4 linked regions of the Caenorhabditis elegans genome follow. The protein of the gene in region 4 purifies or fractionates together with the protein of the main gene of each other region. This does not show direct contact. Each region holds a gene or a part of one and is shown on either strand. Other genes may lie near its edges. The genes, in order: rpn-13, lonp-1, rpn-9 and pas-1.

Region 1 (6,896 bases), on a different chromosome or scaffold from region 4:
ATACAATTTTATCGTATTTACCTAAACTATTTAAACTGATACGATTTCTAAAATTAAGATTATTTTAGAGAATTCTCGGAATAATATCTCTCGCGAAAAGAACTTCGAGTTGTTTTAAAAATTAAAGTTATGAATTTAAATATTCTGATTAAATTCCTAAAGTTTGAATTTAAAAAATAAAACATGAAGTAAGAAAAGGAACATGGAAATAATCGGATTTTTATTTAGAAGGATTTTTTCATTTACCTGTGTCGGTTTAGGCGGAGTACGGTATTATATTTTAAGATTCAGTTATTATATTGCACCAGAATAAGAAGTATTGCACACTCTAATTGGACATATAACAATGAAAACCTGAAAAAATTTATCTACTTTTTCCTCAATCTCCCACGTCTCTACATTACCTTAACCCCTACCAAGAAGTGCGATTTTCAGACTGCTGCTTCTCCTCATTTTTTCTGTTTTTATGTATATCCTTTGCCAGATTTTCTTTCCTATTTCTCACAATAAGTCAGTTACCATGGAAATCGTCGGTGAAGGAGCTCCAATAAAAATCCGAGAATTTGATTATGGCTCCGTTGACTCCCACGCCGGCAAACAAGCGCTTATCCGAAGAAGCTGAACCAATCACTCACACGGCTACTTCTTGACGACGACGAGGACTGATTAGCTTTTCAGTTTGAGCTACTGAAATTTTTTCGGGTTATCCCATTCTGCTTTAAAATTTTCTTAATTCAAGTTTGAGAACGGGCTTATTCTTGTGGGTCTTCCCACGATCAATCCAGGAAGAGAATGACAAGAGTCTTCAAAGCCACATTCCATGACCCTAGAAGGACTTAAAAATATAAATATTGAAAAGAACCCAATAGTAATTTTAAACGAGACAGGCTTCTTTCGTATATTTGCATCCTCGTAAAGTCTTTTTTGTTGGACAATTTCTTATTTAAAAAAATCACCAAAATTTTCTGAATGTTTTTCAGACTGAGTAGGACATTATTTTTTAAACTTCTATCATAAATCTCGTGTAGTTTCATGAAAAACTCCCACCCATTTTCCCACTGTCATGAGTCAACGGGAAAGCAAAATTCGAGTACAAATTAGTGTTCTCCATTTAATTTGTGGCGTTCAACACATAACTCGTTCGCCCCTTCATTTTTTCTTCTATTCTTGGTAGTCGCGTATCACTTCTTATTCTGATCAAATAAATTTTTTACAAAAAAATTAGAGCTGAGCATTCAGATTTAATTATTTTTCTCAATATCGTGAGAAAAGGTTTATTCAATTTTGCTTCAGCCACTTGCTACAAACTACACCATCTAACGGCTAACACCATGTTCAGCGAGCATAAGAAGAAGCAGGAAGAAGCAAAGGTTTGTTCTTATCTGTATTCAAAAACGAACCGTTACCCGACAAGGTTACGAATTTCAATCAGAAAAAAATGTTCCAGAGAACCGAGAAGAATGGAGAATTGATCTTCGATGACCTGGATGCAAAAACTCGTGATCTGAAACTATCGGATCAGGCAAAAAACGACAAAAGTGAGTTAAACCGAAGGAAAAGTGTTCATAAAATCATCAATCTATCAGAGTACATGTCGGAGATGGAGACCAAGAACCCGGTAAGTCAATTTTTAATTTGTTGAAAAAATAGTTGATTATCTGAAATTTTAGAAAAGAAAATCTATCAAGAAAAGCGACCAAAAACCGTCAACGATGTCGCTGAATGTAGGAAAGGGTGGTGTGGAGAAAGAGAAGGAAACGATTTCCTCGCAGCGGAGCAATAGTTTGGAATCTCCAGGACTAGGAAGTCCCCAAAATGTTGGTCTCGGGATCTTTGAGGCAGCAACTATGATGCGCAACATCGGTAGATCTTTAAAAAAAAGTCACGTAGACATCTAAAATTACTTTTTAAGTTGACATCACAACCGACTCGACCACTATGAAGACGGGTAAAACGAAAACATTGAAATCAAAGGAAAGCAAGACCTCACTTGGTTCGGCAAGTGGGCCATTCTCTCAGATGAAGGAGGCTCAGGAGATGAAGAAAAAGAGCAAAAACAGCTTTGAACTGGATGATATTGACAACTAAACTAATATGTTTTAATACTCATCGTGTATACCCAGTGAATTTGTTTTAAAAATACTAATACTAATCGGTAATTGGCATTCTCAAATTTTGCAGAGACCGATTTTGTCAAAATAATGTATTGAATAAAGTGGTTTGATTTTTAAGATATTGGGTAAAAAAATAATGAGGCAAATTCGTCTTAAAACGAGCGGAGGACAAGTTAAATACAGAAAAATAGAACACAAAACGTGACAAAATATCGCATGTACGGTGTGCATTCGGAAACAGCGTTTTGTACGCAAGCACTGAACACCACGAGCAAATGCACCACGAGAAAAGTCATCCTTTTTTAGCCAAATTTGGAACAATATTGTTAACAATTGTTTCTTCAATTCGAGTTATCTTTTAAATATTAAAAAAGACATTATATTTTTACTAGTTATTTGAATTTAATTTTTTTTGACGGGAAATAATTTGTTTCTGTCCGACATGTTACTTTCCAAATCAATTATCAATACTTCAGTTTATTTGTGATATTCATTCCTCGTAATTTTGCAAGTTTGTTCTCTATTTTTTCATCTTGGTATTTTCAGCTTCCTTATCAAACATTCATTTATTTATTTCAGAGATGGCTGCTATGTTCAGTAATACTCGCTCGGTCGCTTCCTCTTCTGGCCATATTGTCGAATTCAAAGCTGGACGCTCTCGCCTTGAAGCTGGATCCGGAGATACTATGAGAAAAGTTGTTGCTGAACCCAAAAAGGGATTGGTATTCATTAAGCAAAGTAACGACATGCTCATCCACTTTTGCTGGAAGGATCGTGAAACTGGCGCAGTTGTTGATGACCTCATAATCTTCCCCGATGACGCTGAATTCAAAGCTGTTCCTGGATGCCCTGATGGCAAAGTGTATATGCTCAAGTTCAAATCTGGAGATATGAAGCTTTTTTGGATTCAAGATTCAACACCAGACGTTGACAAGGATCTTGTGAAGAAGGTCACTGACGCTCTGAACAAGCCGCCGACATCTCGTCCAGCTGCTTCCCGATCGGCTGGTTCTAACGCAAACACTGATCGTCAGTCTGCTGGAGGATCACTTATCTCTAGCTCAGACATGAATGCTCCCCTTGGAGGCATCGATCAAGGGCAATTGATGTCATTGATTCAATCTCTGCAAGGCGGAAACTCTGACACTCTTCCAATTTCTTCCGTGCCTCGAGGAGAGGACGCATCGTCAGAAGCAGACTGCGAGCCTTCGACGAATGCAGCTGAGGAAGGATCTTCAAATCCACTTTCCTTGAATAACCCGGCGATTCAACAAATCTTCAACAACTTGGGACGCTCACAAAAGAAAGAGGTGGCAGTCTCTCTGGCAACTGCTCTGTCGAATGAAACGGTTGCTGAAGTTGCTCGTAACCACGCTGAAGAGCTCGCACCGCATCTTCCAACTTCTGATGATCCAGCCCGGGAGCTTTCTGAGACAGTCAGAACTCCGCAATTCAGACAAGTTGGTTTTTAAAGCATATTATATTTTAACTGTTCTCTATTTTCAGGCTGCTGATACACTTGGACATGCACTTCAAACTGGTCAACTCGGGCCAGTAGTTGCACAGTTCGGAATGGATGAAGCCACAGTTGGCTCCGCGAATCAAGGTGATATTCGTGGTTTTGCTGCTAATCTCACAAAGGCTGAGGGAGGAGAAGATGCTGCCAAGACTCGTAAGTTTACTTGAAATTCTGAAACATAGTCTCACGTTCGTTCAGCACGGGTTGATAACCCGATCTGCCGGAGAGCTGTGATGCCGTCCGCTTATCTCGGCTTCTTTTCCCCCTCAATTGCGGCAACGGTGTCTCGGCTAGGTACGGCGCACTCTCAGTTGTTGAGTTTTTACTCATTTTTGAATATGTCACTAATTGTGATTGTCCTTTTGTTTCCTTTCGCACTATGACCATTGCGCCATTCCTTGTAAAATTTTGCTGCTCTTAACACTTAACACCTATCCATTTGCTATTTCAAAAACAATTTTTACAGTACCGTAAACCTCTGTACTTTTGATAAAAACATCAATAACCATTGTTAATTGTTTGCAGAAAACTCGGACGATGACGCCACTCGCGAACCAGAGCCAAAGCGCAACCGTCCAGACAACGAAGATATGGATGTCGATTAAACTCTCTGAATAAACAAATTCTTCATCACTTTTGTGCATATTCCCCCTTAAACTGTGTTCTCCGTGTTCCTCTTTTTCCGACTCGTCCCTTTAGTATTTCTTCATCATGCCAGAAATGGTGTGATAAGATAGTAGAGCGATGTTTATCGACCACTTCTCTTCGCTCTCTTTCATTTATTCGACCTTCAAGACGTCCCCATTTTTATTCCATTTCGAGAACTTATTTATTCATTGTAAAGTACTGCAAATAAACCCTTTTTACCATCAATTTGAAAGTTTCGGAAAGAACTCGTAATAGTAGCGATTAGTTTTATATTTTTCAAAGTTTATTGGAGTGCATGAGTTTCAAAAAAGTAAAAACGTGACCTCATGAAAATTTTTAGTTTTCATATGTTTTCGTCATAAATAAATAGTTACAAGAAATAATGGAGTCGTCTGACAATTTACATGATATAGATAATCTTGAAAACGGTAAATAAATAGTGTATAATTTATGCACCTTGCATCTTTTCTGCCTGTTATTTCCATTGAAATTCTGTAAATTCCAGGTAACATGGCTTGCCAGTGCTTCTTGGTTGGAGCCGGATACGTGGCTCTTGCAGCTGTGGCTTATCGTCTTTTGACGATTTTCTCGAATATTTTGGGCCCATACGTTCTTCTGTCGCCAATCGATTTGAAGAAAAGAGCTGGAGCTTCTTGGGCTGGTTCGTTTCTATATTTTTACTCTGGTGATGTCTTATCGTATAGCACTCAGAGAACTACTTTTGGTTCTCTGGAACTGTTATCATTTTCAATTGATAATAAAATTGCAATGAAAAAATTGTTGCGTAAATATAAAATAATTGTTTTGAATTTCAAACAAAAAATACATTTTTCAGTTGTCACCGGAGCCACTGACGGAATCGGAAAAGCATACGCCTTCGAATTGGCTCGTCGTGGATTCAATGTCCTGCTCGTTTCGCGTACCCAATCAAAACTCGATGAGACGAAGAAGGAGATTCTCGAGAAGTATTCCAGCATTGAGGTCCGCACTGCCGCCTTCGACTTCACCAACGCTGCTCCTTCTGCTTACAAAGATCTTCTCGCCACCTTGAACCAAGTAGAGATCGGAGTTCTTATTAACAACGTTGGAATGAGCTACGAATATCCAGATGTACTTCACAAAGTTGACGGTGGAATCGAGCGTCTTGCAAACATCACCACCATCAACACTCTTCCACCAACATTGGTGAGTTTTATTAGAATTGTACTATTGTGATCTTACTGAAAAAGTTCTTAACTCAGCTCTCCGCCGGAATCCTTCCACAAATGGTCGCACGAAAGGCTGGAGTCATTGTTAATGTTGGATCTTCAGCTGGAGCAAATCAAATGGCTCTCTGGGCTGTGTATTCAGCTACAAAGGTTTGAATTTCAAAATATCTTCCGTCTTTTAATTATAATTTTATTCCAGAAGTATGTCTCCTGGCTCACCGCTATCCTCCGAAAAGAATATGAACATCAAGGAATCACTGTCCAAACTATTGCTCCAATGATGGTCGCCACAAAGATGTCAAAAGTCAAGAGAACTTCATTCTTCACTCCAGACGGAGCCGTGTTCGCTAAATCAGCTCTGAACACTGTTGGAAATACCTCAGACACCACCGGATACATCACGCATCAACTTCAACTCGAGCTCATGGATCTCATTCCAACATTCATCCGCGACAAGATCCTCACAAATATGAGTGTCGGAACTCGTGCTGCTGCTCTCAGAAAGAAGGAAAGAGAAGCCAAATCTCAGTAATTTCTCGACGTTATTTTGTAGAATCTAAATCAGTCCAATCCATTCAATTATTGCTATTTATTTATGTTATATAAAGTTTTTGTTTTTACTAAAACTGTTCGAAAGAAGGAAAAAAACTTTCCCTAACATTACAGTAACCCAACAATGCTTCACGCAATGGTTTTTATTGTTTAAGAAAACACTGGAAAAACAGCAGAGAATAATGTTCTAAAATGGGTGTAAAATGAATAGAACCCCGAAGAGACAAAAAACAAAATATTAAACCCAGTAGGCTACAACTCGGAAATTTTTTGAATTTTTTTCGGAAATTTTTAGAATTTTTTTCGGAAATTTTTTGAAATTTTTCGGAAATTTTTAGAATTTTTTTCGGAAATTTTTTCGGAAATTTTTTGAATTTTTTCTGAAATTTTTTGAAACTTTTCATCAACAAGTAGGCCATGACCAAATTTTTAAATAGGTCAAATAAAAAAATAGGTCATGACCTAATTTTTAAATAGGTGAAATTAAAAATAGGTCATGACCTAATTTTTAAATAGGCCAAATTAAAAAATAGGTCATGACATACTTTTTAAGTAGGCCAAATTAAAAAATAGGTCATGACCTACTTTTTAAGTAGGTCAAATTAAAAATAGGTCATGACCTAATTTTTAAATAGGTCAAATTAAAAAATAGGTCATGACCTACTGTATAAGTAGGTCAAATTAAAAAATAGGTCATGACCTAATTTTTAAATAGGTCAAATTAAAAATAGGTCATGACCTAATTTTTAAATAGGTCAAATTAAAAATTAGGTCATGACCTAATTTTTAAATAGGTCAAATTAAAAATTAGGTCATGACCTAATTTTTAAATAGGTCAAATTAAAAAATAGGTCA
Region 2 (10,810 bases), on a different chromosome or scaffold from region 4:
TTGGCGCCAACACTCTGAGTACGCTGGACCGAAATTCTACGATAATTGGTTCCCACAATGGATGTCCAAGTGGTTCTGGTAAATACCATTCATCTGGATGGATTGGCAAACTAATCTTCGAGTTCGTGTCCTGCTCTAGGCCCCTATCAATAAAACATCATTTTCTTTTTTTTTTTGTTTTCATTTTTAGACTGTTAGTTTTCGAAAATGAACGACAGGCCTTTGGTTTTTAAAAGTCGTGTTTGTGTATTGTTTTTCTCTTCTGGAATTTTATGAAATGAAGATGTAAATTTACGATAAAATTTCAAATGAAACGTTTCTTTTCAGAAATTTCATGTAAATAAATAGAGAAAAATGTACCGTAGTTGTTTCAAACTTAAAGGCGCAGGAACAAAAATTGAGCGGTGGGTCTCGCACCGAAAGTGTGAACTACGGTGTATCGTTCGCGCGGCCAACTCATTTTTGGTTTCACCTCAACCGTTATCGGATTTTTATTTGTTTTTCTGAACGTTCTATATTTTTCCTGTATTTTCAGCAAGATGCTTAATGTCGTAAAGTCGATAAACCGTGCGAAAACACCTGTTCGCACTTATATGAAGTGAGATAATTTATTTTCTAACGCCATTTCACTAATTTTATCAATTTTCAAAGAAAACAAGTGAGCGCAACCACCAATTTTGATGTCGTTGATCACACTTTTGACGCGGTTGTTGTGGGAGCAGGAGGAGCCGGTTTGAGAGCTGCGATGGGACTCTCCGAAGGTGGAATGAAAACTGCCGTCATTACGAAGCTTTTCCCCACAAGATCGCACACAGTCGCGGCTCAAGGAGGTGAGCCGCTCAAAGTATACGAACAGAATTTAAATTTTGATTTTTAGGTGTGAACGCCGCTTTGGGAAATATGAATCCAGATAACTGGCGCTGGCACTTCTACGACACTGTAAAAGGGTCCGATTGGCTTGGAGATCAAGACGCGATTCACTATATGACTCGAGAAGCCGAAAGAGCTATTATTGAACTTGAAAATTACGGTCAATAAGATTCTCTAACATTAAAAAACAACAATTTTCTTGCAGGAATGCCTTTCTCGCGTACAACAGACGGAAAAATTTATCAACGGGCTTTTGGAGGTCAATCTAATGATTTCGGTCGTGGAGGACAGGCTCACCGTACTTGCTGTGTGGCCGATAGAACTGGACACTCACTTCTTCATACCCTCTACGGTGCATCTCTTCAATACGACTGTAATTATTTTGTCGAGTATTTCGCTTTGGATTTGATTATGGATAAGGGAAAATGCATTGGCGTCGTTGCACTGGACATTGAAACTGGACAGATTCATCGTTTCCGCGCAAAGAACACTGTCCTCGCCACCGGAGGCTATGGAAGAGCTTACTTCTCGTGTACATCTGCTCACACTTGTACTGGTGATGGAACCGCTCTTACCGCTCGTGCAGGTATTCGTAATTCTGATATGGAGTTTGTTCAATTCCATCCAACTGGAATCTACGGAGTTGGATGTTTGATCACCGAAGGATCACGAGGAGAGGGTGGATATTTGGTCAATTCGCAAGGAGAACGATTTATGGAAAGATATGCACCGAATGCCAAGGATTTAGCGTCAAGAGATGTTGTTTCAAGAGCCATGACTATGGAAATTAATGAAGGAAGAGGAGTCGGACCAAACAAAGATCATATTTACCTTCAATTGCATCATCTTCCAGCTGAACAGCTTCAACAACGATTGCCAGGTACGTGATATTAGTGTTTTCAATTGTTAATAATTTTCTTTCAGGAATCTCGGAAACCGCTCAAATCTTTGCTGGTGTGGATGTAACCAAAGAGCCGATTCCAGTCATTCCAACTGTTCACTACAACATGGGAGGAGTTCCTACGAATTACAAGGGACAAGTTCTCGATTTCACACCTGAAGGAGGAGATAAAGTGATTCCAGGACTCTATGCCGCTGGTGAATGTGCAGCACATTCAGTTCATGGAGCAAATCGTCTCGGAGCAAATTCCCTTCTAGATTTGGTTATCTTTGGAAGATCTTGCGCTCTCACGTTAGTTTCATTTATCTGAACAGGTTTAAACTAAAGATTTCAGTATCCTTAATGAGAACAAACCAGGAGATTCAATCCCGGAGCTTCCGGTAAATTGTGAAGAGAAATCGTGTGACAATTTGAACGGACTTTTGCACTCAAAAGGAGATATTTCATCTATCGAATTAAGACAAAAGATGCAAATGACAATGCAGAAACATGCTGCTGTTTTCAGACGGGGCGATCTTTTGAAGGTAAGTAAATACAGATTTATTCTATTTTCAAAAAATATTGGATATTTTCAGGAAGGAGTCGATAAAATGTCCTCCATCTACAAAGAGCAACAAAATTTGAAGGCGTGTGCCGACTCTGGAAAAGTATGGAATTCGGAGCTTGTCGAAACTCTCGAGCTTCAGAATTTGCTTATCAACGCCAATCAAACCATCGTCGCCGCCGAAAATCGCACTGAATCTCGTGGAGCCCACGCTCGTGATGATTTCCAAGAAAGAATTGACGAATATGACTACAGCAATCCACTTGAGGGACAGCAGAAAAAACCGTTTGATCAGCACTGGCGCAAGCATTCCATCATCGGTATCGATACGAAAACTGGAGCTGTTGATTTGACATACCGCCCAGTTATCGACAAAACTCTCGATAAATCTGAAACCGACTGGGTTCCACCAAAGGTCCGATCGTATTAATTCGTTGTTTTGTTCTTCTTTGTTCACATAATTGTGTTCGAGCTGTATGTTTTTTTCTTTTGTGTGAAATTTATTTGTTTCCTGATTAGAATAAAGTTTATTGAATTTAATAATATATCAATTTAAGCTTATTTAAGATTTATTTCTGGTTTTCAATCCACAAATATTTGCAAATGTTCTTCAAAATATGAAATGTGCAAGTGCGCTCCATGGAAAATCTCTATTTTACGTCATTGTATGAAGGAGTGTTGGAACAAAATTATTCCGAATTCGTTTTGCTTTAATCTTTTTGTATTTTTATAACTGAATTTGATTTTTAATTATTACATAATTAACCATGGACGGAATGATTGCAATGCTCCCTGCTCCACTGCAGAAACTATCGTCGCATATTGATTTTCAAGGACAGAAAGTCGCCGAGAGAACTTACCAGGTAACAAACCACAATTGATTGACTGAAATTACATAAAATAAAGCAATAAAATTTAGGTAATCCTCACTATTGCTGGAATTATTGGCTTCCTCGTTGGATTCTGGACTCAACAGCTTTCATATGCCATGTTCACAGTGCTGGGAGCATCTGCGTTCACAGCTCTCATCATTCTTCCACCATGGCCATTCCTCTTCAGAAAGAACCCGATTGTGGTGAGAAAAAGTTACAGAAATCGTATAAAATGTTTTAATTTTCAGTGGCACACACCTGCGGAACCACAAGAATCTGGAGACAAGAAAAAGGAGACAAAGAAGACGAAATAAATCGGCAATGATGCAAAAACTAAAGAAAAACGTTTTACTCGGGATCTGGTCAAATATTTATTTTAAATTAAATTATTTATGAGCTCTTCTTCATTTTTCTGTGTGATATAAGAATCATCTTCTGAACCATAATAAATTCATTTTCAATCTACAACGATTTTAATATTTTATTGACGTTTTAATGCGACACATTTTACTTTTTTATTCTGAAGTCTTGAATCCTCCTATCCTACTCCCCGTTCAACAGAAATGTACCGCGCTGGAGCGGTTTTACTCCGCGGGGCAACTCGCACGCGGCTTCTTGCCGCTGCTTCAGCACATCAAAGCTTTGCCACATTTTCTCAAAGAAATCAATCGATTTTAATGATGAAATCTATGGAATTAGCAGGAAATTCAGGAGAAAGGAGGTTTTATTCCACTCATGACGATCCAATCGCTGTGGATGACTCATTGGAACTGTACAAAGATTTGGTAAGTTTTTTAGAATTTCAGTCATTAAAAGACGATTTTAATTGATTTTCAGGGAGGAATGTCACCGATTCAAGTGCCAGCCGATATGCCAAATGTCCCAATGTTAGCTATCAATCGATATCCACTATTTCCAGGATTTATCAAGAAAGTTGATGTGAGATTAGATAACGTATTTGGCGGAAAACTGAAAATTAAAATTTCAGATCGTGAAAGATGACAATTTAAAAGCACTGATCAGGCGACAGCTTTCACTGAAACAGCCGTATGCTGGAGTTTTTGTGAAGAGAGACGATGAGTATGTAGTTTTTGAATGGATCTCTTCTTGACTTAAAAATGGAACAATCGCCGAAAAACTAGTCATGTGTTGATATACGGAGCTCGTGTACTCCCCGAGGAAATGCTTTTACAGTTTTTGCCTGATATTTTTGATTTGGAACCATTTTTGTTATTGGAATCATCAAATAACAGAAAAAAATCAATCTTCTATATACCGACTATAACTTCTAAAAAATTTATACACTTTTTCAAAATTGTTTTGTATTTTTTTCAATTTTGCAACAAAAAATGGATTAAAATTGCTGAATTATTTTTGAATTCCCGCGCAAATTAGTATATTTTTTTCCAGAAACAAAGAAGAAACGATCACATCTCTATCAGAAGTCTACCCAACTGGTTCTTTCGTTCAAATTATCGAAGTCCGTGATCAGGGAAGTGTTCTTGAGCTGGTACTCAGTGCTCATCGAAGAATTCGTGCTCTTGAACCAATTGACGAAATTACACCGAAAAATGAGACTCCATTGAATGGAAGACGTGCTCGTGGAAAGCGTGCAGCATCAGCAACATCACCACTCACTCCACCACCATCACCACCTCCACTTGCACCTTCAGTGGCTTCAGTGGCTCCAGAAATTTCAGCAACAGAAGAGAAAGAAGAGAAGACAACACCACCATCAGCAACTGGAGAAAAACAGAAAAAAGGAATTATTATGGTTCGAACCGAGAATGTTGTTGCAGAGCCAGTGCCCAAGAATAATGAAACGAAGGCTACGATGATGGCCATTGTGCAGACGATTCGGTAATATCAAGTTGCGATTATTTAGCCATTTGTACCTCAATATTACGATACCCGGTCTCGACACGACAAACTTATTGTAATCTAAAAAGGATATATCCCTTTGAAGAGTACTGTAACTTCAAATATTCGTTGCTCGGAAATTTTCATCGATTATCATAAATTCTCGTTGAAAATTATATACATAAGATTAAAAAAAAATCGCAAAGTTCGAAAATAAAATCTGTGTCATTACATTTATAAAAAACTTGTGTGTATTGTGTGAAAAGCTATGAGAAATCGACGAAAATTCCGAAAAAAACAATAGTTTGAAATTAAAGTAATCTTTAAAGGCGCACACTTTTTTGAATAACAGGAGAAATGCGACCGGGTACAATAAAATGTATATTAATCATTTTGAATCGAAAATACGGAAATAATCTGCAAAATGTTATGTATTTTACAATGGCCAAAAGTAAAATCGAAAAAAAAAACGAAAAAGATTGTAGTAAAATTATTGAAAAAAGGATAAAACTATAAATTCAACAAAAACTGTGTATATTTCGAGAAAAAAATATAGAAAATTTGCATTTTTTCCCCTGCAAATTGAAAAAAACCTTGATTCCGAAAGTTATTTTTTGATTTTATGAGTTTCCAATTTCCTAAATTCAAATATTATTTCAGAGATGTAGTACAATTCAATCAACTCTTCGGTCAACAAATCAATCTTCTACTTCATCCATCTCAAAATGTAATCGATAATCCAGTTTATCTATGTGATCTTGTTGCAACTCTTGTACAATCTGCAGAAACAAAAGATCTTCAGGAAATGATGGATGAAATTGATGTAAATTTAAATTTAAATTTTTTTAAATGAAAATAATTATATTATTTTTTTAGGTTTCAAAGCGACTCAAAATTGCTCTTCTTCTGATTCAAAAGGAGAAAGCAGTTGCCAAATTGAAGTATGATATCAATAAAGATGTTGAGAAGAAGGTTCAGGATCATCATAGGAAATACTTGCTCAATGAGCAATTGAAAGTAATCAAAAAGGAGTTGGGAATTGAAAAGGATGAGAAGACGACTATTATTGAGAAAATTGATGAAAGAATCAAAACATTGGCAGTTCCAGAATATGCATTGAAAGTTATTAACGAAGAAAAGACAAAGTTGCAGTTTTTGGATCCGCATTCCAGTGAATTTAGTGTCACGAGGTAGATATTGAAAATTATATTAGTTTTATAGAAAAATATATATATGCATTTAAAAGGCTAAAAATGCTCGGAAAAGTAAACTTTTTTCCAATTTTCCAATCGAATTTTTTTTCGAATTCTTTTTCCAAAAATCAAAATTTCTCCAAAAGCTTCCGGATTGTTTATGAAGTGTTCAGAAACCAGCTCCTGGATGTCGTGAAAAATTGAAATGTTTTTTTTTATCGAAAAGTTGACAATTCGACATTTCAATTTAAAAAAATTTCAATTTTCCGGAATATAAAAAAAAATAATAGTTCAGAAATTTTAAACTTTTTTATTAAAACCCCAAAAAATTGTTTAAAATTAAACGAAAACTCCAACTTTCTAAATTTCTATTATTCACTTTTGGTTAATCTATTTATTTTAATTTTCTTCAAAATGAGAACTACAGGATCGACGACCAGGAACTCCGCCCACTCCTTTTGATTGGTTCGCCGATTGGTCTTACAGTTCTCGTTTTGAAAGAAATTCAAAACTGAAAAATATCATTTTTAAGTGCATTTTTTCCTGAATGTCAGACTATTTTAAATGTTTTAAAGCAAAAAAAAAATTGAGTTCCGTTTTTTTTCAGAAACTACCTGGAATGGTTGACATCAGTACCCTGGGGACTTACATCACCCGAGAATCGTCGTCTTTCAGTTGCAAAGAAAGCTCTTGATGAAGGACATTATGGAATGAAAGATGTTAAAGAACGAATTATGGAGTTTATTGCAGTCAATTTACTTCGAAAATCAATTGGTGGAAAGATTCTATGCTTCCATGGACCACCTGGAGTTGGAAAAACTTCTATTGCGAAATCAATTGCGACTGCCTTGAATCGAGAGGTTCAGTTTTTTTTCCTAAACTTTCTCTTGTTAAAATTAAATCTAACATTTGCAGTATTTCCGTTTCTCAGTTGGTGGAATGACTGATGTGGCAGAAATCAAGGGACATCGTCGTACATATGTCGGTGCAATGCCTGGAAAAATGATTCAATGCATGAAGAAAGTGAAAACTGAGAATCCTCTTGTTCTTATCGATGAAGTCGACAAAATCGGCGGAGCTGGATTCCATGGAGATCCCGCATCGGCACTTTTGGAACTTCTTGATCCAGAACAAAATGCGAATTTTAATGATCATTTCTTGGATGTTCCAGTTGATTTGTCTAGGTTTGAAGATGCTTCTCCTCTTGGTTCTATAATTTTATTTCTAATTTTCAGAGTTTTGTTCATTTGCACGGCAAACGAGATTTCAAAAATCCCGGGACCACTTCGTGATCGAATGGAAATGATTGATGTTAGCGGTTATTTAGCCGAGGAAAAAGTTGAAATTGCTCATCAACATCTCATTCCTCAACTCAGAAAAGACACATCTCTCGCCACAGAACAACTGAAAATTGAAGATTCTGCGTTGGAAGAGCTCATTAAGCATTACTGTCGTGAATCTGGAGTCAGAAATTTACAGCAACATATTGAAAGAGTATGTTTTGGTAAAAACAGGACGATCCGCGAGACCCGAAGAACTCGGGGGATGTCCAATTGGGGGGATTACCAACTCGGGGGATTGGCCCCGCCCACATAACCGTGGCTTGCAATACGCCCATTTCTGCAACTGCCGCACGGTTTTAAAACTGTATTTTTCTCAATAGAGCGAGAATTAACAAGAAAAAATAATTTTTAAACCGTGCGGCAGTTGCAGAAATGGGCGTATTGCAAGCCACGGTTCTGTGGGCGGGGCCAATCCCCCGAGTTGGTAATCCCCCAATTGGACATCCCCCGAGTTCTTCGGGTCTCAGATCCGCGCCTCGAGTTGATTGTTCTGTTTCGACAATTATATTTAGATTGCTTATAGAAATTACCTTTTTTTTCCAGATTTTCCGTAAAGCAGCTCTTCAAATTGCTGAACAACAAAACGAGGATGAGGAGCCAGCCGAAAAAGCAACAACTGCTATCACTGAAAACTCAGAAGCCGAACCAATCACCTCTACATCATCTGCAGATTGTTTAAAATCTTCAGCCGAACAAATTGTAGTTTGCACAGAAAACTTGCAAAAGTTCGTTGGAAGACCCAAATTCACATCAGATCGAATGTATGAAGTAACACCGCCTGGAGTAAGCGAAAAAACTGTTTTAAAAACTTAATTCACGTTCCGTTCAGGTGATAATGGGTCTCGCATGGACAGCAATGGGTGGATCTGCACTTTATATTGAAACTGTATTGAAACGACCTGTTGATTTGACAAATGATAAGGATGGAAGTATTGAAACAACTGGAAATTTAGGAGATGTAATGAAAGAAAGTGTTCGAACAGCGTTGACTGTTGCAAAAGGAATTCTTGCAAGAGAGCAACCCGATAACAAATTCTTCGATAAAGCACATATTCATATTCATGTACCCGAAGTGAGCTTAATCTTGAAATAATTTCAACTAACCAATTCCATTTTTCTAGGGAGCAACACCAAAAGACGGACCATCTGCAGGAGTAACTCTTGTCTCAAGTCTTCTTTCACTCGCTTTAGACCGACCTGTTGTGCAGGACATGGCGATGACTGGTGAAATTTCATTAACCGGAAAAGTGCTGCCAGTTGGTGGAATTCGGGAAAAAGTGATCGCGGTGGGTCCTCTGTTCTTTTTTCGTTCAAAAATTTCATTTTTTTTCAGGCTCGCCGTGTCGGAGCAAAACGAGTCTTCCTTCCAAATGAGAATCGTCGAGACTTTGATGATTTACCAGAATTCATGAAATCAGAGTTGGATATTCGATTCGTTTCGCATTATGATGAGCTCTACGAGCATCTCTTCCAATAATACGTGTCCCTTTCTTTCACCCCCAGTTAATACCTTTCAGATAGATTTTGTTGATTCACCTAATCCATTTTTTCTTGTTTTGTTATTTTAAAAACGTTTTGAAAAGAAAAAAGTTCAGGCTATAAACATTTTCCTACTTTTATTTTTGTTTTTTTTTTAATTTTAATAATCTCAAGTTGTTTGATCTTTTCAAATATTTTTCATTTAAATTCTAAATAATATTCTCTTTATTTAAAAACCATTATTTTCAGCTTTAGAAATGGCAATTATCGAAGAAATTTTCGAGGATGAAGAGGATCAGATAACAAAAGTGGATTCATTGAAAAAAGAAGGAAATAATTTCTTTGCGAATGGAGAATTCGAAAAGGCGAATGAAAAATATCAGGTATTGGAATGTTTTGCAAACGTGCGGCGCGGTTTGAAGCTTGTCGATTTACGCAGGATTTTGTACTACACGTGGACAAGTATTAATTCAATTTTCATATAATTTTATAGTAAAGAAAACAATAATTTGAAAAACAAAAATTTTGATTTTTAAAAATATCGAAAAATTACAAACAAGAATTTTAGCTGAAAACTACACAATCATCTCAAAAAAAATCCCCACTTGTCCGAGTGTAGTACAAAATTCTTCGTAAATCTACATGCATACAACGCGCCGCAGACTTGCAAAATTAACGGCTTGATCGGTCTATTTCGACAGTATACAATTGAAATTTTTCCAGGAAGCCATTGCCTCGTGCCCTCCAACATCCACAGAAGTACAATCGATTCTTCTTTCAAATTCAGCAGCTGCACTTATCAAGTTAAGAAAATGGGAATCTGCTGTGGAAGCTGCGTCGAAATCAATTGAGGTACTGAAGAGAGCATGAAATATTACACAGACGCGAAATTTTCCCAATTTCGACCACAAAATACGGCCTTGTCACTAAAATTTGGCGTTAAAATGAATAAAAGTTTGCAGCTTTAAGTATTTCTGAAATTTCCAACAAAAATTTCGATTTTCATTTTTCCTGAAAATCAAAAAGAAAAGGGTTTTGAAAATTGACAAAAAAATCCTTTTCTTTATCAAATTTTGTTTACTTTTACGAAAAAAACATCAGGAAACACATAATTATCTTCTACAAGAGGAAAAATTGGCAAAATTTTAAGATATTTTTCAAAAAATTAAAAAAAAATCGAAATGTCGGAAAACTAATTTCTCATAAATCGAAAACCCGGCTCCTATAGTTGGAAACTACAGTAATCCTCAAAAGGCGTCCTTTTGCATTTAACAAACGGTTTTCGTGTTGAGACCCTTAGATAGCAAAATTTTGCGACTTACTATTAGCTAGTTAGCTTGAAACAAATAAAATCAATTTTCAGATTGGAGCAACCAACGAGAAAGCACTGGAACGACGGGCGTTTGCATACTCGAATATGTCAGAAAAGTATGAGAATTCTATTGAAGATTATAAACAGTTACAGGTATCGATTTTGGTAGATTTCTTTTTGAAATTAGAAGTAAACTTTTTCCAGGAATCTCTTCCAAAACGCCGCGTCGAACTTGATCGGAAAATCGCTGAAATCAATGAGAAAATTAATAATCGAAATGAGGCGATGAAAGCCGATGTGATGGAAAAACTGAAGGGTTTCGGAAATTTCTGTCTATCGCCGTTTGGGCTCTCGACAGACAGTTTTGAGATGGTCCCGAATGGAAATGGAGGATTTTCGGTTCAAATGAAAGGTGCTACGAATAAACAAGAAGGTG
Region 3 (6,755 bases), on a different chromosome or scaffold from region 4:
AGAAGCCTGTGTCTTGGAAGAATCCTCTGTTGTATCGTGGACGGGCGTAGGCATTGTTATTGTTGAGGAAGCTGGATGCCAGGTATCCTCCAATGGCTCCTAGACTTGCTCCAGTCCAAAACGATCCACCATTGTTGGCGCCACTGCCACTTGCTCCTCCGCTAGAACTTCCCTGACTGAAAAACTTAATTTTAATGAAAATAAGGTCATTTTTATTTAAAATTCCTTACCATCCACCTCCAGATTGCGAGTCACCACGGAACCCATATGGCGGTGGCTTGGAGTAGTCGTCATATGGTGGAGGAGCACTTGGATAACCACCTGGACCACCACCTCCTCCGCCGGATCCTGGGCCTCCAGGACCTCCTGATCCACCAGAAGTGTAGCCAGAGCTTTCTGGGTTCTGATTTCTGTTAGTCCACATCGCGTAGATAATGTAGGCGATGAAGGCGACGACGACGAACGTGGCGAACTGATCCCATCGATCCTGGGATGACTTTCGAGAAACTGATCTGTTACCGCTCGCAGAATTGTACTCGAGCTCATACTCCAACCCGCAAGATCCTCTCAGGATGTATGGATCCTCTGCGTAATCGTATCCTTCACATGAAACACTGATCTGAAACAAGAAACATTTTTTGAAGCGAGATGGAAATATTTAAAAAACTAACGGATCCGAATTCCATATCATGTGGCAAATCTGCATCACATCTCCACTGCACATCCGAACCATCAAAACCTTGATTTGCACACTGAACCACCTTTGGGGTGAAGGCACCTTTCGCGGATCCACCGACACACTTCAACTGGAAGGTTGGAGAAACTCGTCGTCCTGTCGTCATTTTTCCTTTGTGTAGAGTAATTGCTGATACATCGCGAAGAAGAACTTTGTCAGAGGCCGCTGAAATTCATTTGTATTATTGAAACAAATAATCAAAAGAAAAACTTACCAGAAGTTTCGAAGAATACCACTGTGAACACCAGAAGCATCCATAAAAGGAAACTCGTTGTAAATCGAGAGATCATCTGAAAAAAGAAACTAACAATTAGGAATTTTGAACGAGTAATCAATAGAAAGTAGTATGAACATTGAAATAGTACCGGAAGATAAGAACGAAGCACCAGAGATTAATTTTGAAGCGTTGCAGTGAAAGGGAGAAAAGATGATAATGAAGAAAACGAATGATAGGATATGTGACGTGTAACAACACGGAATTTTCAGAAATTTCGAAATACTTGGATCATTTTTTTGCAAATCAAGAAAAAAGATAATACGAGAATAAGCGAGGAAAATCTATTGGATGGACACAATTTTACAGCAACGCCTTTGTTTGACATAATTTTTATTCAGAGTTGCGATTTTTATCAGATTTCGCTATAAACCAAGAAGAAAACACACAAATCTGGAAGGAAAACCTGAAAAGCTGTGTTGCCAGCTGGCGGATAAATCGAGAAGGGTGTTCGCACTTTAAAAACAATATCTTCTGTTAAAAAACAATAAAATAAATTAAGAAAAATAAATTGTTGCAAGCGCGCCCTATCGCATATGTTGAAGAGACTGTAGACGCAGACATATGGCCGTGACCGAAAACATTGTCTTTCGCGTCTCGATATTTCCAAAGTGAAAGGCCATGCGCCTTTAATTGCTGACAAATAAAATTCAAAAAAAGTTTTTTGTTTTGATTTTTGTGAGAGCGCGCTCGCCAAAAATGTTCATTTTAGCTATTCGAAATCCATTTTTGTTTTGATTGCTCCTACTCCTTCATTTTCTTTCTTCTTCACTCATTTCTCGTCTCAATTTTTAATGTATCGAGAATTTCTCAGGATGACTGCTCAAGACTACCTCAACGGAAAGCTGGCGGCTGCCAATGGACCTCTGGCCGATGACTGGAAGAATCTCAAGGAGCTCTGGGAGAAAAAGTAAGAATCAATTGTTTTTGTAGACACAAACTATTTCACTAATTTTCAGGCTCTGGCATCAACTAACGGTTCTGACACGATCCCTTGTGAAGAAGCCACAATTTGTGGCTTCAACGGACATGCACGAATTCTACAGACTGTTCGTGGCGGAGTGGGAGCTGCGTGTCAACCCTCTTCAGCTCGTCGAGATTTGCATTTCGATCGCCCAAAATATCGCGACAAAGGACAAGCAAAAATCTATGGAATTCCTGTCAAAAATTGGAAACGTCATCAACAAGGACAAGATTGCCGTTGCTCGACTTCATACCGGAGAGATTGAAGCCAGACTGGAGAACAAGGACAAAAATGGACAGATTATTGATCTGAAGAGCATTCGAACTCAAATCGATTCGACACAACACGAAGTGGACTCACTTGTCGGAGTTACAGAAGTTCATGCCCCGTTCTACCGCGTCTCATCTTTATATCTTCGTGAAGTTGGAGACTTCGCTGGATATTATCGCGAAGCTCTTCGTTATCTTGGAGTTGAGGACGCCAATAATCTGACAACAGAACAGAAGCAAGTCCATGCGGTTCTTCTCGGTTTCGCTGCTCTTCTGGGAGAAAACGTGCACAACTTCGGAGAATTGGTTTGTTGAAACTCTCAATTTAAATTCCCCCAATAAACGGTTTTTTCAGCTTGCTCACCCCATCCTCAAATCGCTCGAAGGAACTCGTGAACGCTGGATCGTGGACGTGCTTCTTGCCTTCAATTCGGGAGATTTGACGCGCTTCTTCTCGCTCGAAGGAGATTGGGGAGGCTGGGACGATTTGAAGAAGCAAAAGGATTTCCTGACTGCCAAAATCCGTCTGATGGCTGTCATGGAACTTGCAGTCTCTCGTCCAACCAAAGCCAGAAGCGTTTCATTCAAAGAAATCGCCACGAAGTGCCAGATCCCATTCGACGAAGTTGAGTTCTTGGTGATGAAGGCGTTGAGCAAGGATCTCATTCGTGGAGATATCAATCAAGTTGAGCAAGTTGTCTACGTGACATGGGTGCAGCCAAGAGTTTTAGATAATCCTCAGGTATAAGAATTGATTATAAGTTTTTAAAATACTTATTTTCTTTTTTTCAGATAATGCAAATGGCGACTCGCATTTCCGCATGGAGGAACGATGTCAACTCCATGGAAGGAATCGTCAGCAAAGAGGCACGCGAGATTCTCACTCAAAATTAAATCATCTCATTTCTTTAATTTATTTTCTCCATGCTCCCCCATCCCAATCCCGGAATCCTCTATTTTTATAATTACACTGCTACGTGTATTCTACAATTTCAAGATCGTTCAGTCTTCTTTCTGTGTGTATTTATTTGAATTCATAAATTAATCGACTGTGAATATATTGAATTTTCTCGATGTCAGATGTGACTAACACCGTGTCAATAGTTCACTAGTACTTTTCAATACTTAACATTCGGGTTCTCTTCGTCTTCGAGTAATGTAGTACTGTGATTGTTCCAGCCATGGTTGATCTTTCAAAAAACGACGGAGGCAGTGGAAAAGCCGGAAAAGGTGTGAGTGATGCCATCGATACAGTCCTCTACTACGTTGTTGATCTGAAAAAGCAGCAGCCGATGGTCCAGCTGGGTGTTGGTGCTGGATTCGGGACAGTGACTGGATATTTTGTCACCAAGGTATTTAAAATTGGTGGTTCTAGAGAAATATTTAATTTTTAAATATTTTCAGGGAGGACGTCTTGTTGCTGCCACAGTGGGAATCTCTTTCCTGTTGGCTCAATTCGCTATTCACAAAGGATACATCACGCTGAACGAATCAAAAATCGAACGAGACATGAAAAATCTACACAAGTCCGTCATGAACAAGTAAGCTTGAATTTTACGAAAAAAAAATAGAATAAAACGAAAATCGTATATTATTCAATTTTTCAGAGTATCCGGCAAGAAAGTTATCAACATTTCCGATTCATTTGTCTCCGAATACCGGTGGATTCTTGGCGGATTCGCAGCTGGGATGCTGATTGGATTTAGCGTCGCCTAAATGTGGAAAATTGTGAAGCTTCAGTTGGTTTTTATCTACGATCTGTACTATTTATAATCGAGTTGCTCGATATGATGCATAAATAACTTTTTCTCACTCTCCATTGTCTAGTCATGCTGTCTATTTTTTTCTTCACATTGACTGATAAATTATACACCCTTACCTTCTCATCTTTTAATTCTTGCAAAACTTATGGTTTATTCCATAACTTTTCTCTTTTTGAACTCGATTTTGTGCTGAAAATTTTTTGAAACGTAAGTTTGCAACGACACTCCGTAGTTACGCGGCCCGTATGACGCGTAGTTTATTTTTAAGGCCTTTTTTCTCTAGTTTCATCATTTCCGTGCGCCACCTGCCTATTTAACCGTCATTTCCCCAACTATAGTTTAGTTTTCAGATAAAATTACATCATGGGCTCTTCACAATCGACGCCAAAGGTGAGTTTTCTATAATTTCAGTTAAAAGAAAACACGTATGAATTTATTTTCAGGTGCAAGATGCCAACGCCGATGCTGAGAGAATTCGTAAGGCTCAACACAGCATGGCTGCTGCTGGAGGAGGATCTCAATGCCCATTAACACCTGAACAGAGAGCTGCTGCATCTGGAGAGAATTGTGGAGCTGGTGGCGCTTGCCCGGTTGGTGCTGACAAGGCTTCTATCAATCCACTCAACAATGTGAGTTCAAAATAGAGTTTTCTGAAGCCAACTTTGAAAATTCAGGAGCTCGAACATCCAAATCAAAAGCCAGCCCCAGATCAGCCATTCGCACTTCCAACGAAACGAGAGAAGTCTACAATCCCGAAAGCTGGAACAGAAACTGAAACCTGGACCTATCCAAGTCCCCAAATGTTCTGGAACGCCATGCTGAAGTGAGTTTTTGATTGATAAATGTTTATTGTTGATTTTAAATTTGAATTTCAGAAAAGGATGGAGATGGCAAGATGACTCGCTGAGCAAAAGCGACATGGAAAACATTATCAGCATCCATAACGCTAACAACGAGGAGGCATGGAGAGAGGTGTTGAAATGGGAGAATCTTCTTCATCCGTAAGCTCATGAAAATTCCAACATCTGAATAATTTATAATTTCAGGGAATGCGCAGAGCCGAAACTGAAAAGCTTCAAAGGAGATGCCAAGAACCTATCGCCAAGAGCTCGTTTCCGCAACTTGTTCCTCGGATACGATCTCCCATTCGATCGTCACGATTGGATTGTTGATAGATGCGGAACCAAGCAAGTTCAGTACGTCATTGACTACTACGATGGTGGTGCTGTGGATCCAAGCTCAAAGCTTTTCACTATTCTTGATGTTCGACCGGCCGTGAATGATATTGGAAACATCTGGGATCGAATGGTTGTTGCTTATTGGAGATTCAAATTCGAGACACTTGGATTCACACCGAGCCTGCCGATTCCACCAACTGAAGGACACAATGTCAACCATTAATAAGTATCGCATTATCATCAAAATTATTTCCAATAATTTACCCACCGCTCCATAAGCCTAATAACAGTTTCGCAATTAGCATATTTCGTAGATAGATTAGTGTTCTTTTTTTCCCCCTCGTTATCATTGTTTGCTGTTAATTGTCTTTTTTCTCCGCATGGAGCCCCGTTTGCTCATGATCTTTCAGTGTCTTCCGTCAACTACCCGTTACTTTACTGTGTTCCACCGAAATACCGTTTTTCCTTCTTTTCTTATCGATTCTCCCAATGAAAAATGGTCTGGTTATTCGGAAAGTTTGAAATTTATAGAAAAGCGGAAGAATAATCACCCTAGAGATCTTTAGATATCACAACAACAGACAGTTGTCAGGTTCCAAAAATTTAGAAGCCATGTGGCTGCTAGCCAGCAAACAGCTGACCAAGTTCTCCCAACTTCCAAGAGTTTCTCTGTTGAGCCAAGGAATCCAGAATGTGAGGCAAGGATTCCGAAGAAACTTTGGAATATCGGTGAAAGATGTCGACGACAAATCCAGAAAACGCATCGGATGGTGGCTTATGGGATGTGCTGGAATGTGCTACGGTGCTGTGGCGCTTGGAGGAGTCACCAGGTGCTTATTAATGTATTTTTTCAACTAAATATAAAATTTCAGATTAACCGAATCAGGACTGAGCATGGTGAACTGGGATCTGTTCAGAACGATGAAACCGCCATTCGGACAGAAGCAATGGGAAGAGGAATTTGAGAAATATAAAGCTTATCCAGAATATAAATAGTAAGATAAAAAAGACACCAAATTTTGCGCCAAAACTACGGTACCAGGTCTCACCGCGACAATTTTCGTTAAATGAGAAACGGCGTGCGTCTTTGAAGAGTACTGTAATTTCAAAATTACGGTGCTGTGAAATTTTCGTTGATTTTTCATAAATAGTTTTTTGATTAAATCATTTGCAAACTATGAAAAATCAATAAAAATTCCGTCGCAACGAAAGTTTCAAATTACAGTTCTCTTTAAAGGTGCACACCTTTTCTCATGAAACAAAAATTGTCGTGTCGAGACCGGATACCGTATTTTGTGGCAGAAAATCGTCTGGAATTCAAATTGAAAATAAAAACGTTAATTTTCAGCAAATCCTCAAGCGAAGAGATGACACTAAACGAGTTCAAATTCATTTGGTCAATGGAATATGGCCATCGAATGTGGGGACGCGCCATCGGTATCGTTTTCCTGATCCCGTGCGCCTATTTCTGGGCTCGTGGCCGATTCGCACCGGATATGAAGCGACGAATGGCACTGGCCACCACACTTTTGCTGGCTCAGGGAGGCATCGGATGGTGGATGGTCAAGTCG
Region 4 (6,363 bases):
GGCCATTCATCGACCGGTTGTATTTTGCCAAAGACGAATCACAACAGCCAAAATATCTGAAGGAGGTTGATGAGAATAAGTACGAGGGAATGCGAAGAATCAACAAGGCGTATGTGTTTTGAAAAGTGTTTCAGATTTTAATTATTTTTATTTAGAGTGAACTCGAGATTCTCCATACCACTTGAAATGAGACAGGAACCCGGATCGGGCTGGTACATATTATCAGCTATGTACAGTCTCCCCAATGTTCCTCTGATGGTCATGACTGGAGTGGTAATTTTAAAAACTGTAATTGTAATTGTATAATATTTCATCTCAGATTCGACCAGCCGAAGTTGCTCGAGAATCTTTGCGAACTGAAGGAAAAGAGGTTGCATTCAGTTCTTTCGTCGAAATTCCAGGAACAGATTTGTGCCTCGATCGTCGAGAGTTCTATGACTTCTCAAAATTCATTCCCCACAGCGTGAGTTTTATTCAATTAACTATTCTAATAACTTGATGATATCCAGTGTAATCCAACATGCAATGTTCGTTTGGTTGAATCAGGAAACGACATTCCTGATCTCGTGATTTACTCACGTTTTCCCCTCGACGAAGGCAATGGATATGTGATCACCCTTGATTATTTCAAGGCTTTCAAAAAAGAGGTTGAGGAATACTTCTCAAAGGTTGTTGCTCCAGGTACGTTCTTGATAATTAGTTTTCCTAGATAAATGTCCTCATTCAGACGGCAAACTCTTCCATCTCCTCGAGAAGGATATCGACTTCGTGCAGTGCAAATGTGAGCACAAGTGCCGAGAGATTGTATATATCGACCAGTCAGCGAAGAAGAAGTCCGAGAAGGAGAAACTGACGTCGACGTTCAATGGCATGTCTCTGGTAGAGTCACCAAAAATCTGGAAGATAAAAAATGGTAATTTCCTCGAGTGAAACTCGCTGTAAAATGTTTTCAACTAGTTTTGTTTTTCGTTTTGTTATGTATTACATATTTATTCATTCAATGAAATTTTAATTTTAAATACTTGAATATAAAGCCTTTGTTAAAGTTTACAATGGGATTGATATGAATTCTTAATAGAGAAATTATTGTAGCTGCGCTGGCACATTACTTGGCGAGGCCAGTACATTCCAAGCTATAATTGTACAAATCCTGACAGGCCTGATCATCCAAGGCTAGTGGGTTTTCTTGGGTCAACTTGCAATCGGCAAAGTATTTTCCACTGATTCCACCGATCTTTTTGCCCAATGCAAGGAAGATTGAAGTTTGAGCTCCGTCGCGGCTGGTTTTCATGAGGAACCAACTGAAATTAATTTTATTTATTTTAAGGTTAAGTGTGGAAATTTGGCTTGGCTTACCGGAAAACAGCTGTAATCTGCTTGATTCCTGGTGTATTCAAAATGGTATTTCTCGCGAGCTCGGTATTAACAACTCCTGGGTGCAGGGAGTTAACAGTCACGTGTTCGGCTCCGTCCTTTCTCAATTCCTTAGTCAAGGCTCTTGCGTGCATAACATTTGCCAACTTGCTCTGTCTGTACGATTTCATCATTCCAAACGATTTCTTGTCATCTACAGTAGCCAAATTAATTTTCTCGGATTTCAAATGAATACGAGATGAAACATTGATGATTCGAGCGTAGGAAGACTTCTTAACAGCTGGCAGAAAAAGTTCGGTGAGCAGAAATGGTCCCAAATGGTTGCTCTGCCAAGTTTTCTCATGACCATCCTTGGTTTGCTCGTGTTTGCTTTGAAACATGATTCCAGCATTATTGATAAGGATATCAATGGTGTCAGTCGATTCGAGAGTTTCCTTGGCAGCTCGTCGTACACTTTCAAAATCTGTCAAATCACATTCAATGAAGTGAAGACGAGTGGCATCGCATCCTTGTCTCACGAGCATTCGTTTCGCTTCATTGGCTTTCTCTTCGCTTCTGCACAGCATATAGACCTGGAAAAAATTAGATTATTCTTGATAACTTAAATATGGATAGCATTGTTTAGAAACAAATGCAATTTATGTAATTAGTAATTAGCAATTAATTATAACAATGCAATTAGTTCTGTAACTCACATCAGCTTTCCTCAAATTAAGTTCCCGAACTGTCTCGAATCCAATTCCACAATTAGAACCGGTCACAACGGCTACTAATCCCTTTGCAGAGACTCTTTCATTGAATTGACCTCCTTTAAAGTAACGTCTGAAATATTTTAGATTATAGTTTTAGCTATCGTGAAATATCGATTACCTTGTGAAAAAGAGCACAATAAAAACTACGGATGAAGCGAGCACAAAAAAGAGGAATCCTCCATGTTCTTCAGCATCTGCACCATCCATTTTAATAGATGGTCTGTTAAAACTTTGAATGTATAATTTTTTTAACTTGCAGTTTTCTTCAATGAATTCGTACTAAAAAATAAATAACAGGGATTGCGAAACCACCATCAAAGTCAACATGAATAATATGAAGTGTTTCAAAAATCATTTTATCATGATTTTTAGTGATAAATAAATAGTTTCAAAAGAGAAAGGGGCGGAGGGCAATGATAAAAAAGACCGAGAAACAGGGAGTAAAGAAAACAATAAATAAATTTAGAAAAGGGAAACCAGGTATTTAATTCAATTTGGGTACCGGATCAATTGAAACGGGAAATATTTAAATACAAAGGTCGATGAATATTTAATCTCGGTTGGCGATTTGATTGAGATGATGTTCGACCTGATCGCTGGTTAGCTTGGTGAATTTGGAGTTATCCTTGGTGACAACGACAACCTCAAGATCCTTGGAACGAACGTCGATTCCCAATGAAGTCTGAAGAGCCTCAATGGCGAGTTCAATAGCTTCTGTGGATGTCAATTCGGACTTCTTCTTAATTTTCTTTTCCAAGAATGAGGTCGCTGGAAGTTGTTTCACTCCAACAGATACTCCTTTCATACCACGGTAGTATCCAGCGGGGTCAACACGATAAACTTCTGGTCCTTTCTCGTCATCGTAGGAAATGAACAAAAGAGCTGAAATTGAGTAATTGTAATAATTGAAGTTAGAGAATTCGGAAATTTTTCTACTAACCACATCCCAAACTACGCATCTCCGCATTTTGTGTGTAATACTGGTTGAGATCAGCCATCTTTTTGGCGAGAAGCTCGCATGGCATATCGTAGCCGTTCTTGTACTTCCAGCTAGCAGCTTCTCCCTGTGCACGCTTGATTTGGAATTTAGCATCCGGGATCATTCCAATGGCGCAGCATCCAACAGACTGAGAGATTTGATAAACCGAAGTGACGGTATCAGCGACGATGAGACTGTCTGGAACACGCTTTTGAACGGCAATGACAGCTGCATCAGCTCCCTTGACTGCGACAGCCGTCAGATTGGTAGAGTTGATTGCTTTGAAGGCATACTCGACCTGGAAGCAAGCATGGAAAGTTATAAACATTCAACTATTATTTTATAACCTGATAAACACGTCCTTCTGGAGAGAAGATGGTAATATGACGATCGAATCCGGCGCTGCTTCCACGAGACATCTAAACATAAATTTTAAAGTGGAAATCAACCATTAATTTGAAAACCGATAAAGATAGGAAATCTGGTTATTGACCAGTGTACCAATAAAATGAAAAAAAAAACGAATAAAAAGAAACTTAATGGAATATTCAGGAAACAAAAACAAAAATTCAACAATATATAACAACAGAAATAAAAATCTGATTTGAAAAATAAAGACTCGAAAGGTTATCAAGAATATTCGATATCCTTCTTCTTGCATTTCAGGCATGTATAGAATACTGTTTGTCCTTCATCTGCAGATCTCGTTTGCATAGTAGAATATGATGCCTTTGAGTGACCGCACCTTAAAGTTGGAAATTAGTTTCAGTCTTTCTCAGTTTCAAAATCCCCGGAAATATTCTTACTTTGTGCAAATATGATCAACAACAGCATCCGCTGACTCGTCATTTTCAATTCCATCTGTATCAGCAACCGTTCGTTCGTAGATCTTTTCGACACGGCTAACCACTTGATCTACTCTTTCTGAAAACATTTTAAAATTAGAATATATTCATCTTAAAAGCAGGAAACCTTTCACAGCCCATCGAGTTGAGCATACTTTGCAGGAGACCGTCGCTGGAGCCTGTGCCGGTAGTTCCAAGATGGCGCCGCAATATCCACAAAAGTCATCGTCGTATGAGAGGAAGTTCAAAGCCATTTTAAGCTGAATTAATGAAGTTTCGACTAAAATATATTGTTGAAGGTTGAAAAATGATGAGAACGCCGAAAAGATGACAAAATTTAAAGGGAGTGCGATGGAGCACGCTTGGAAATTGAGACACTACCGATTTGTGACTTTCGAAGAAACAGATTGCTGAGTAAATGGGAACAGCACTTTACTAGTTGAGAAAATATTAAGTCTTGACAGGCAAATTGTTAAATGATCTAAAATCACTTATCTTGGTTTGAAAGATGGCCGAGTTGCTGGATCTGGCAAAGAAAACTCCGCCTATTAATTTCATAGATTTGAAAATCGCGAATCAATGTTGGCTTTCTTACATTCAGAGAAAAAAAAAACATGCCAGAGAAAAATAATTGGGATTATATAAAACTCTGAACAAATTTAATAAAATAACCTATCCCAGGTAAATTCACAATCGAGAACTAAAACATCATTTCATGAAGAAAAGTAACATTTTCTACTTAACAGAACATTTATTTATTGAATGTTAAAATTTGATGAATAAAAAAGAAAGTAACAAAAAAAATAAACGAATCAAAATCAACAAATTTGAATAAAAAACAAGAACATAGATTATCCCTTTCTTGCTTTGGCCTTGTTGGCTCCCTTCTTTCCAGCACCACCAGTACCCTTCTTCTTGCCGTCGACCTTGTTTTTGAACCACTGTTGTCTGTGAATCTGACTCTTCTGTCTTGTTTGATCTTTAGCACCTTTCCTCTCCGATTTTTCCTTCTTCCTGAAATTAATTGAATTGAATAACGATAAAGGCCTAATTTTCTCACTACTCACTCTCTCAAAGGTCCAGCAACTGCAGCAGCCTTTTCTTCAACAATCTTTGCTTTCTTTGACTTCATTCGTTGAAGAATCTGGAGAGCACGTTCTTTCTCGCCAGAAACTGGAGCTTCGTTGGCTTCGAACTTTCTCTTCTTGCCAGTTTTCACGTTGGCCTTCTCTCCCTTCAATCCTTCCTGGAACTTTCCAGCGGAAGCTGTGGCAAGCTTTGCACGATCCACTGCGAAACGAACTTGTTGCTTTGATTTTTCCTTGGCATCGACTCCTACTCCGATCATCTTTTCTGTCGATGGACCGCTCTTGACTGTTGTCTTCATCTGACGAGCAAGATTCTTCATTCTCTGCATATCGTTCTTTGCAACTCTCTCCTTCTTCTTTTCGCGTCTCTCAGCAAAGAAATCCTTGTTCGGATCTTCTGCGTTGTCAGGAATTTCGATCAGCCAATCCTTGGTATCATCATTTCCACGTCTGTATCCATAGGTCGGTTTCCATTCCTTTGTCGCTTCATCGAACACCTTCTTATCCTTCTTTCTCTTCTCAATTCCCTTTTCAGCAGCATATTTCTCCCATTTCGTCGGCTCTTTTTTCTCTGGCAATCGTTTCTCACGAGGAAGACGGTAAGTGGCGGGAGGGAGAGTAACAATAATAGCCTCTTCTACTCTTTTTTGCTCCAGCTGCCAGATGTTGTTGAAAAGGAGTTGTGTGTTCTTCCTAGCACGTTCCTCGAGTCCTTCACTGAAAAATTATGAAATTTGCTGGTTTAATTAATAACGAAATTCTATAATATACCTTGCGTCTCCTTGGATTGGCTCTCGATCAATAAACAGCAGGTTACCCAAGTCAATGATTGGGTCAATGGCCTTTTCAACCTCCGTCGATTTGTCAGCCATTTCTCTGTAACATTAAAGTATTAACTGAAACTACTGAAAGTAGAAAAACGCTGCAACTGAACGGGAAAGACAGTGCGAATGTATTATAGAAACAGCTTTTCAGAACTGAAGCTTAAACAGCAATCGGCACCAATTTTCGTATAACTGTTATAAAGAAAATCAAAACTTTAACCGAAATCTAATTTTTCTGACTAATTTTAACAGGTAAATCATTTGAAAAGAGAACTGAAAGAGCTGAAAACGAAAAATAAAACAAAGGAAATAAGGGCGTGGCTTCTATTGCAAGTGGTGCGCGTGGTTTTTGCAACGCCACCGCACGCATTTTTCTTTTATTGTAGTTTTCGTCATCTCTCACAAAATACGAAGAAAATGTGAGCACATTATGTAAAGTAAAACAAACCACTACAAGCTTTTAATTAAAAAATAAATTACATTTAAAATTAGTAGAATCAG

Evidence for each region.
Region 1: the proteins of pas-1 (region 4) and rpn-13 fractionate together in Caenorhabditis elegans (co-fractionation; one large-scale study listed by BioGRID). This does not show direct contact.
Region 2: the proteins of pas-1 (region 4) and lonp-1 fractionate together in Caenorhabditis elegans (co-fractionation; one large-scale study listed by BioGRID). This does not show direct contact.
Region 3: the proteins of pas-1 (region 4) and rpn-9 fractionate together in Caenorhabditis elegans (co-fractionation; one large-scale study listed by BioGRID). This does not show direct contact.

Annotation. Positions count from the first base shown.
Region 1 is NC_003281.10:6,337,723-6,344,618, reverse strand, and holds rpn-13 (Proteasomal ubiquitin receptor ADRM1 homolog), read left to right. Parts: upstream 1-2,690; 5' UTR 2,691-2,695; coding exon 2,696-3,574; intron 3,575-3,620; coding exon 3,621-3,786; intron 3,787-3,831; coding exon 3,832-3,927; intron 3,928-4,158; coding exon 4,159-4,238; 3' UTR 4,239-4,506; downstream 4,507-6,896. Other genes in the region: C56G2.9 (DUF4604 domain-containing protein), read left to right, coding at 1,332-1,370, 1,448-1,538, 1,587-1,618, 1,671-1,863, 1,913-2,088; Very-long-chain 3-oxooacyl-coA reductase let-767, read left to right, coding at 4,664-4,709, 4,787-4,942, 5,117-5,466, 5,511-5,639, 5,689-6,021. UniProt on the Caenorhabditis elegans protein: May function as a proteasomal ubiquitin receptor. May promote the deubiquitinating activity associated with the 26S proteasome.
Region 2 is NC_003279.8:10,675,313-10,686,122, reverse strand, and holds lonp-1 (Lon protease homolog, mitochondrial), read left to right. Parts: upstream 1-3,748; 5' UTR 3,749-3,750; coding exon 3,751-3,972; intron 3,973-4,024; coding exon 4,025-4,126; intron 4,127-4,175; coding exon 4,176-4,267; intron 4,268-4,597; coding exon 4,598-5,047; intron 5,048-5,707; coding exon 5,708-5,870; intron 5,871-5,923; coding exon 5,924-6,237; intron 6,238-6,847; coding exon 6,848-7,100; intron 7,101-7,155; coding exon 7,156-7,424; intron 7,425-7,475; coding exon 7,476-7,734; intron 7,735-8,126; coding exon 8,127-8,366; intron 8,367-8,412; coding exon 8,413-8,655; intron 8,656-8,704; coding exon 8,705-8,869; intron 8,870-8,916; coding exon 8,917-9,060; 3' UTR 9,061-9,201; downstream 9,202-10,810. Other genes in the region: ndua-13 (NADH dehydrogenase [ubiquinone] 1 alpha subcomplex subunit 13), read left to right, coding at 1-82; sdha-2 (Succinate dehydrogenase [ubiquinone] flavoprotein subunit, mitochondrial), read left to right, coding at 540-598, 652-830, 878-1,030, 1,076-1,750, 1,795-2,062, 2,106-2,295, 2,347-2,745; spcs-1 (Signal peptidase complex subunit 1), read left to right, coding at 3,083-3,178, 3,235-3,390, 3,436-3,501; ttc-1 (TPR_REGION domain-containing protein), read left to right, coding at 9,320-9,445, 9,786-9,914, 10,426-10,527, 10,579-10,810. UniProt on the Caenorhabditis elegans protein: ATP-dependent serine protease that mediates the selective degradation of misfolded, unassembled or oxidatively damaged polypeptides as well as certain short-lived regulatory proteins in the mitochondrial matrix.
Region 3 is NC_003280.10:11,233,989-11,240,743, reverse strand, and holds rpn-9 (26S proteasome non-ATPase regulatory subunit 13), read left to right. Parts: upstream 1-1,824; 5' UTR 1,825-1,825; coding exon 1,826-1,920; intron 1,921-1,969; coding exon 1,970-2,549; intron 2,550-2,598; coding exon 2,599-2,985; intron 2,986-3,035; coding exon 3,036-3,137; 3' UTR 3,138-3,297; downstream 3,298-6,755. Other genes in the region: T06D8.9 (Store-operated calcium entry-associated regulatory factor), read right to left, coding at 1-176, 231-619, 672-901, 951-1,026; FUN14 domain-containing protein fndc-1, read left to right, coding at 3,425-3,595, 3,648-3,784, 3,851-3,959; cchl-1 (putative holocytochrome-c-type synthase), read left to right, coding at 4,370-4,396, 4,450-4,635, 4,681-4,829, 4,882-5,007, 5,053-5,407; cox-15 (EOG090X04TT), read left to right, coding at 5,797-6,014, 6,057-6,179, 6,533-6,755.
Region 4 is NC_003283.11:14,419,095-14,425,457, forward strand, and holds pas-1 (Proteasome subunit alpha type-6), read right to left. Parts: upstream 3,525-6,363; coding exon 3,453-3,524; intron 3,404-3,452; coding exon 3,067-3,403; intron 3,009-3,066; coding exon 2,677-3,008; 3' UTR 2,472-2,676; downstream 1-2,471. Other genes in the region: set-31 (SET domain-containing protein), read left to right, coding at 1-109, 156-273, 320-463, 510-681, 728-930; dhs-22 (DeHydrogenases, Short chain), read right to left, coding at 1,106-1,301, 1,357-1,946, 2,070-2,196, 2,245-2,333; rpoa-12 (DNA-directed RNA polymerase subunit), read right to left, coding at 3,736-3,850, 3,912-4,029, 4,078-4,204; rrsr-1 (Ribosome biogenesis regulatory protein homolog), read right to left, coding at 4,802-4,964, 5,018-5,755, 5,810-5,910. UniProt on the Caenorhabditis elegans protein: The proteasome is a multicatalytic proteinase complex which is characterized by its ability to cleave peptides with Arg, Phe, Tyr, Leu, and Glu adjacent to the leaving group at neutral or slightly basic pH.